Linked DNA regions of Canis lupus familiaris. The protein of the gene in region 2 binds, or shares a complex with, the protein of the main gene of each other region. Links are inferred from orthologs where the notes say so. Each region holds a gene or a part of one and is shown on either strand. Other genes may lie near its edges.

Region 1 (4,105 bases), on a different chromosome or scaffold from region 2:
TACCAGATGGCCAGCAGTTGCCTTGGTATCTGCTTTGATAACATCAAGATTCATCTGTATTTGAATTGCAGGGCCCACACATCTTTCATCAACAATCCTCAGGGTGCCAGGAGTTGAAACTCATGAAACTGTGCTGACATCAGTACACTGCTGCAGATCATATCGCATCAGCTCCAAGTGTCGGCAAAGTAGCAGCAACACTTGACTATAGGCAGACAGTCCAGGACGCTAGCACTTACTCTTCATAGACAGGAAGATTAAACACTAAACCCTTCTTTGTAGGATACCACAGGAGGTAGTGTGTGCAGAGAAGGGGGATGGATTTATTTATTTATTTATTTATTTATTTATTTATTTTATTTTTTTCTGTGGGACGGATTTAACTAGCAACATATGACATGGGTAGATACAGTTATTTGAGAAGGCTTAATCATGATTGGCAAAGTATGAATACTGCAAAGTATTCTTGCAAAATAAGCGGAATTTAATCAAGCCTCTAGATAAACTTCTGACTTACAAGAAATAAGAAAAAAGACATTCAAAAACACCTTTGCTTGAACTTTTTAAAATGACAATGTTACAGGGGAAAAAAAGATAAGGGAGTTGCTCTAGATTAAGGCTAGAGTTACAACACCCATATACAATACATAAACCTTGACAGAATCCTGAATTTTGTTGCAGAAGCTATTAACTTCTTCAGTTGTGATAATGATAACATGTTTTGCAGAACTTTATAATTCTTAGGGAGTACATTTTGGAAATCTTAGAAATGTCTGCTTAACAATAGGTGTCTGTAACCTATTTCCAAATAATTTAATGACAACGAAAAAAGCATGAAAATAAGGATGAAATAAATATGGCAAAACGTGGGGCACCTGAGTGTTTCAGTGGTTGAGCGTCTGCCTTTGGCTCAGGTTGTGATCCTGGGGTTCTGGGATTGAGTCCTGCATCAGGCTCTCCCTCTGCCTCTCTCTAATGTTTATTACATTCTTTTGACTTTTTTTATGCATAATTTTTTTTAATTGAGGGAAGAAATCATGTTGGAAAGACTTCAGAGGGGAAATCTAAGAAAAGGTTGAGTAACAAGAGCAACGCTGCATTTGATCGACTGAAGCTGGCAGTGTCTTAGGCACCCGGCAGACACCAAATATATACAATCTTTTTTAGTAGTATTTACCAAAACAGTATCATGTGCAGGATAAAGATGATAAGACAAAATCATTCCATTCAGATGTAAACACAGCAGTAAAGCTAAAAACATAAGCAGCTGTTATATAAAATAGTGGTTGTCCTAAAAGAAGCATAAAAAGTGCTAGGTAAGCACAGGGGAAATTACTTCCTGCTGGAGACAATCTGGAAACACATCTCCAAGGATGAGTGGGGCATGGAAACAGTCACCAAAGGTTAGTGCTTCAATGATTCATTTTGGAAGAAACAAGAGTAGTTAGTTCCTTTTGGCTAAGGCATGGGTAGTATGGGAAGCAGAAAGGAGAAAAGGCAGGTCTGCACCCTTGTTGGCTGGCTGGGCAAATACAATTTTCCATTTACCTGCAAGTTCTCCCGGTCTTCTCCCCGGCAACTGTAGGCGCCCGACCCGGTATGACCAGGATGACTTACAGTCCTCGACTCAGGCCTACGGAAGAAACTGCACGACAGAACGTGTGAAAAGCACGACGGCATTTCTAAGCACATTCACAAGCCTCACGTTGTCTAGTGAAGCGTGGCCGTGGGGGAGCAGGACCGTATACCTTCGCCCAGAACTGCAGTCATCGCCTTACAGGCGCCCGGAGGAGGGGAAACCAGAGGAACGACACTCGGAGCGTGCAGACGGGAGGCGGGAAAATAAAGACTCGGAGGGGTTGCCGCGGCGGTGGCGGACCCCCCCCCTTCCTTCCTCGGTGGCGACGCAAAACGATTTCCCGGAGCTCCAGCACCCGCCGTCCTCCCAAGGTCGGGGCGGGGGAGGCGGCGCGGTCGGGAGCCCCGGCCCCCGGGAGCCCCGCGCTCTGCCCCGCGCTCTGCCCCGCGGCGCGCGCCCGAGCCCCTCCGGGAACCTCGGGGGGCGGGGGCGGGGGCGGGGGCGGGGGTGGGGCGGCCGCCGCCGGGCCCTCCCGGAAAGAAACCCTCCTCCGGCGGAAGCGGCTGGGAGCTCGGCGCCCCTCCTCGGCTCTCCGTCTCCCGCGGGCCGCCTCGCGGGACAGCGCCGACGCACCGTCACCCCACTCTGCGATCCCCGGGGCGCCGGGGCGGGGGGGCTCTGGCTCTTCCCACCCCTCCGCCATGACCCCATTCAGAAGTGCCAAATGCAGCTTCCGGGCAGGACAGGGACTTTCGGCACCCTGACCTCCTGTCCAGCTGGGTAAGTGACCAGACGTCCCAGCACAATAAGGGGCAGGAAGCCTGCGCCTTCCTCTCCCCCAGCCCGGGCAGGTAGTTCAGAATAGGAATTAAGTTGTCTGACCTGGGATGTCTGGTCACCGTTAGTCCTTTTTCGGGCCTACTTGCAGATTTCTCTCTTCCCAGACGGCTCGACTGTTGCCCAGGGCAACGGCGAGTTTTATTTATTTATTTTTTTTTTTTTGGGCGAAGGGAAAACTACGTCACACTGGAGACGGGAGGCCAGGAAACTCCGTGCCATTATCCGTCATGGCTGCCTTAGCTTCAACAGTAACTTCCGATTGGGAGTCGTCCCTCTACCCTGCTGGAGGCTCCCTCGGTGGCTCGGCCGGCCGGCGGCGCCCAGTGGGCGGGAGAGAGGGCGTAGAGCAGCTGAGGAGAGGAAAAAGGCGGGGCGAGGGAAGCTGGCGCCAGTGCCTCGCTGTGATTGGACAGCGGCGTTGGCGCCAGCGCCCCGCTCTGATTGGGCGGCGTCGGCACGCCTGGCTCCGCCTGCTTTTCTTCGCCAGCGAGTGACTGGCCTGCGCCGGAGGGGTGGGGCGGGGCGGTGGGAGCGAGAGTGTGTGGAGGCGCGGGCGGGGCGGGGCGGGGCGAGTGGGGGAGGGGCGGGCGGGGGGCGGCGGTTGGGCAGCGTCGCTTCTGAGGAGGAGGAGGAAGGAGGGCGAGCGAGGAGGATGGCGGAGTTGGGGCTCCCGACGGTAACGCGGGGCCGCTGAGGCGGGAGGGTGTTTGTCGGTCGGCTCTTCCTGCCTTCTTTCCTGCCCGTCGGGCGGTCCGGCCGGCTGTCGGTAGGGGGAGGCCCCGCGCGCCCTGAGGGGCAGGAGCCGGCGGGGCCGGGCGAGGCCCGAGGGGCTGGGGCCCGGGGAGGCGCCGCCGCCGCCGCCGCCGCCGCCGCCGCTCTCCCGGGTGCGGGCGCGGGCGCGGGCGCGGGCGCGGGGAGGGCTGGGCCCTCGGAGCCGGCGCTCGTGCGGGGCCCGCAGCCCGGCGCCGGCGGTGAGCGGGGCGGCGCTGACAGCGGCCGGGGCCGGGCCTGCGGCGGCGGCGGGCGGCGGGGCGGCGCGCGGGCCGGGGGCGCCCGGAGCACGGCCCTGCCCGCTCCGCCCCCGGGGGCACCTGGCCCGGGCTGCGGGGCGCCCCGTGGGCGTCGCGGAGGCGGGCGAGGCTCGGCGGGGGCCTTGGCGCGGCGCTGGCGGTGCGGGGTCGCGCCTTCCCCCGCCCCTTGCCCGGAGCCCGGAGCCCGTCGCTGTCTCCCCTCGTCGCCTCCCGGGGAAGAGAAGAGCGGCGAGGCGGCTTAGGCTGTGCCGCCCGGAGAGCCTGCCCTCCGGCCCCGGCGGACTTGCCTGGTGCCAGCCTCCTTCCGCGGCAGCTCTTCGGAATAGAGGAAAAGTACTCTACCCCCCCCCCCCCCCCCCGCGCTGGAGCCTCAAGGACCGACGATTTCCCCCCAGCCCCTCAGTATCCATTGTTGTGTACCATCCCCCTCCCCCGCCCCAAGCCTGGGTGGAAGGAGGAGGACTTCAAACCCTTAATTGCCCCCCCTCCCCCGTTTTTCAATCAGCAGAGCTTATGTGTTATTGTGTTAGTATGGATTTACAAACAGGTGGAAGGAATGCCGATTCGGGGAGTTGGAAAGAAGATGCTTTTGTGTGTGTGTGTGTGTGTGTGTGTGTGTGTGTGTGTTTTCAGGCTTTCAGCCCTTAACACTTGG
Region 2 (3,500 bases):
CTTTGATAATGGAACTGACTGGCTTTCCCAGGATGGCGTTCCATGTTTCTTCTCTAGGGACACATACTATCTTATCTTTTTAATATAGGGTCTTGTTTGTTTTAAGTGGAATAGCTATAGCAAGATGTCTCGTTGGTTGTGTCACTTAACAGGATGTTTGGCCACAGAGTGTACTGTTCGTGATAATTAGTCTCTGAACTAAACTTAGATTTCTCCCAGTCACCTTTGTCTCCTACCATGGTAGTCACTTTTCTGGTTCTACCATCCACAACACTTCTTTCTGAATTTTCTTCAACCACATTTTGTGTCTAAAAAGACATAAAATTCCCTTGGCTTGGGGCACCTGGGTAGCTCAGTAGTTACCTTGTGATTTTGGCTGAGGTTGTGATCTCAGGGTTGTGAGATCGAGCCCTGTGTCAGGCTCCCCATTTGAGAGGAGTCTGCTTCAGAGTTTCTCTCTCTCCCTCTGCCCTTCCCCCTTTTCTTTCTCTCCCTGCCCCAAAATAAATAAATCTTAAAAAACAAACAAAAAACCCCTTGATTTGTTAAGTTACAAAAGACTCTTGTCACCAAGAGGCTAAGTTTACAGGGACAAGTAGGAAGGAGCCCATGTAGACTATTGTAAGCTTCTGTGGGGCTGGGTGGGAGCCTGATCCCTGACTTCTGTCTTCTAAAGCAGGCTCTTTGAGATTAGCTCACAGAAATCTAGAGGGTGACATTCTTCCAGGGGCTCGTCAAGGATGTAAGTCAGTAAAATTCCCAAGGGAAAAAGGGGACAGTGAGCATCTGGAACCTCACTGAGAATGGAGACCACTGCTTAGGACCCAGCTCTGGAGATGGTAGCCATGTTTTGGTGAGAGGGTGAGGGGGATGCCACCAGAACCAGCGAAGTTACAGAATTGGTTTGTGGGTGGGAGGCGATCCAAGTGGATATAGGATTACGGCAGAAAGTGAAGGGCAGATACTCAGTGGAATGGAGTAAGCTCCGTTTGGCATCTGGGCTTCCTCTGGCTGGGGCGCTGGCCTCTCTGGCGCTGCTCTCTCCATAGGTAACCAGTGCCCCTCATTCCTTAGAAGCAGGAGACGCTGTTCTTTGCATTTTGGCATTTTCACTGTTGAAACTGCTGATGATCCTACAGACAGAACAGCTCAGCTCAGTGTTGCTTAGATTTTTGTGACAAAGGCAAGTATCTGTGAGGGGTTGGGAAAGCAAAGAATCTATTAAGTCAGCGTTTATTCCCCAAAGCCAATGGTTAATTTTTTCCTCAAGCTGGTATGTGGCTTCCTTCTTTTTTAGTTTGGCTACTTAGTATGGCTTTTTGCTTAATATGGAGAGCAGAGCCTTAGGACCCCTGGGATCCTAAACCACGTAGAAAACTGCGGGCTCGCATTGTCAGTACCGGGAGACCAGAAAAACCACCAACCAACCAACCAACCAACCAAGCTGCGAGCGGGAACTGGCTACAACTGTGTGTTTTAGGCTGACTTGATTTATGGAGCATTGGACGTTAGTTACATCAGTAATCAGGACAGTCACACAGAATATTCCATAGGTGATTCTTAGGACTTAGGCCTTAAGGAACAGTCCTGATAAAGGAGTCTGGATTCTATTTTTTATTTTTTTAAAGATTGATTGATTTATTCATGAGAGACACACACAGAGGGAGAAGCAGGCTCCATGCGGGGAGCCCGATGCAGGACTCGGTCCCCGGACTCCAGGATCAGGCCCTGGGCCAAAGGCAGACGCTCAAACACTGAACCACCCAGGCGTCCCATTTCTTTCTTGCTGAGCAACTCATCCTGTAGCCAGGGCTGAGATGACCTGCTTTTGAAGGAAATTCCCAAATCCCCTGCAGGACTTTTCACAGGGAGTAGGAGGCACACGTGTCTGCCAGGTGCCGCCTGCGGGCACGTCACGGCCAGGTCTTGGCATCTCTCAGTCTCGCTTCCCTCTGAGCACTCCGCATTGACCTCTGTGTTGCAGGTTCTCGCCAGAAAACACGGAACTTCTTACGACTTTGGGACTACTGTACTTACAGGTAAGGAGGGAACCTTGACTCATTCATGCCCCAATGTTAGAAATGGTTTTGGGTTTGTGTGGATTGTGGCTTCCCTGCGATTTGATTGGACTGTAACACAACACATCTTACTCGAGCCTGTGAAGCGCAGGAACCTTCCTCTCCGCATCTGATATTCTCTGTCAGGACTGAATTCCCTGCATTAAATCAGAAGCAAACCAGTCAGTTTGAGGCTACTGCAGCTCTGATTCTTACCCACTTAAGGAAAAAGCATATAGGGATCCCTGGGTGGCGCAGCGGTTTGGCGCCTGCCTTTGGCCCAGGGCGCGGTCCTGGAGACCCGGGATCGAATCCCACATCGGGCTCCCGGTGCATGGAGCCTGCTTCTCCCTCTGCCTGTGTCTCTGCCCCTCTCTCTCTCACTGTGTGCCTATCATAAATAAATAAATAAATAAAAAATTAAAAAAAAAAATTTAAAAAAAAAAAAGGAAAAAGCATATATGAGAAATAACGGGGGTGGGGAGGGACCTTATGTCGTGGTGGGAGAAGCCTTGAGCCCCAGTGGGGCTTTGGGGCAGAGGCGGTTTCTGTTGCTCCTTCTTCCCAGCCAGGTCTCTGTCTGTCTGGAACAAGGAGTCTCCCTCCCCTCCACGTTTTCCTGCATGTGAATGGCATTCTTTTAGTGCCTGCAGTTCAGTTGTACCAGCCTGCGCCCGCCATATCCCTGTGCCCTCCCCACCCTGCCCCTACCGGCTCCTCGGGGTCCCTCCTAGCTGACCCTGCAGCTCTGCCTCCAGGGCGGCCTTTCTGTCTGTTTTGTTTTTCTGGGCCTTCCTGGGCTTTGGCTTGGATGTTGGCCCCAGGGAAATGAGGCTAAGCAGCCCATTTTCTGCCAAGGAGGCATTAGTGTGGAACAGCAGAGCGTGCCAGAGGTGGTTTCTGGCAAACAGATACTTTGACCTTCAGGGGAAATCAACAAACATGGGGATTTTTAGTTTTCTTTTTTTTATCTGGTATCTGTAGCTTTTTTTATCATGACAACTGGAAAGCCCAGGCATTTCAGTTCAGGGTGTGGTTGGCCAGACTCCTTAACTGCTCTCTCTCCACTGATCTAATTCTCTGGTTTGCTTTTTCTCCAAGCTCGGCATTTACCAGAAGGCATTTGAACACCTTGGAAATGCGCTGACTTACGACCCTACCAACTACAAGGTATCATGGGCTGTCAAACCCCAGGGCCTTCAAATAGGTGTTCCTGCTGTTGCCAGAGGTGATCTGGCCCTAGAAAGCATTTTGGATACCCGAGAAATCACCTTTCTCTTAGGAAAAGTATAAATAGACACGGCCCTTAGTGTTAGCGCTCTGCTTATTTTCTACAAGCACATGTTTGCTGTCACAGGCCTGTCACGCAGTGAAGTTGTCGCACTGGTGAAGGTCCGTGTGTTACTCAGGAAGTGAACAAAGCTTCCACAGCTACTGTCCGAG

Evidence for each region. The genes of interacting proteins can lie anywhere in the genome.
Region 1: the proteins of BBS4 (region 2) and BBIP1 are in contact, whole or in part, in a cryo-EM structure (PDB 6VBV), measured with the Bos taurus proteins. The link is inferred for Canis lupus familiaris from reciprocal best matches to the Homo sapiens genes BBS4 and BBIP1. Residues at the interface, in NP_001069424.1 of Bos taurus: Leu210, Leu213, Tyr236, Leu240, Ala241, Ser244, Gln247, Thr248, Ser269, Pro271, Asn274, Asn275, Met278, Phe281, Gly282, Lys284, Tyr298, Leu299, Pro301, Leu302, Asp303, Trp304, Lys305, Ile306, Tyr308, Asn309, Leu312, Leu315, Thr316, Gln318; in XP_003587939.1 of Bos taurus: Met7, Phe8, Arg9, Glu10, Val11, Leu12, Pro13, Lys14, Gln15, Gly16, Gln17, Leu18, Tyr19, Val20, Glu21, Asp22, Leu28, Lys30, Pro31.

Annotation. Positions count from the first base shown.
Region 1 is NC_049249.1:22,464,449-22,468,553, forward strand, and holds the start of BBIP1 (BBSome-interacting protein 1), read right to left. Parts: upstream 2,801-4,105; 5' UTR 2,462-2,800; intron 2,360-2,461; exon of another isoform or gene 2,156-2,359; intron 2,019-2,155; exon of another isoform or gene 1,749-2,018; intron 1,646-1,748; exon of another isoform or gene 1,634-1,645; 5' UTR 1,549-1,633; intron 1-1,548.
Region 2 is NC_049251.1:36,541,619-36,545,118, forward strand, and holds part of BBS4 (Bardet-Biedl syndrome 4 protein), read left to right. Parts: intron 1-1,984; coding exon 1,985-2,039; intron 2,040-3,158; coding exon 3,159-3,227; intron 3,228-3,500.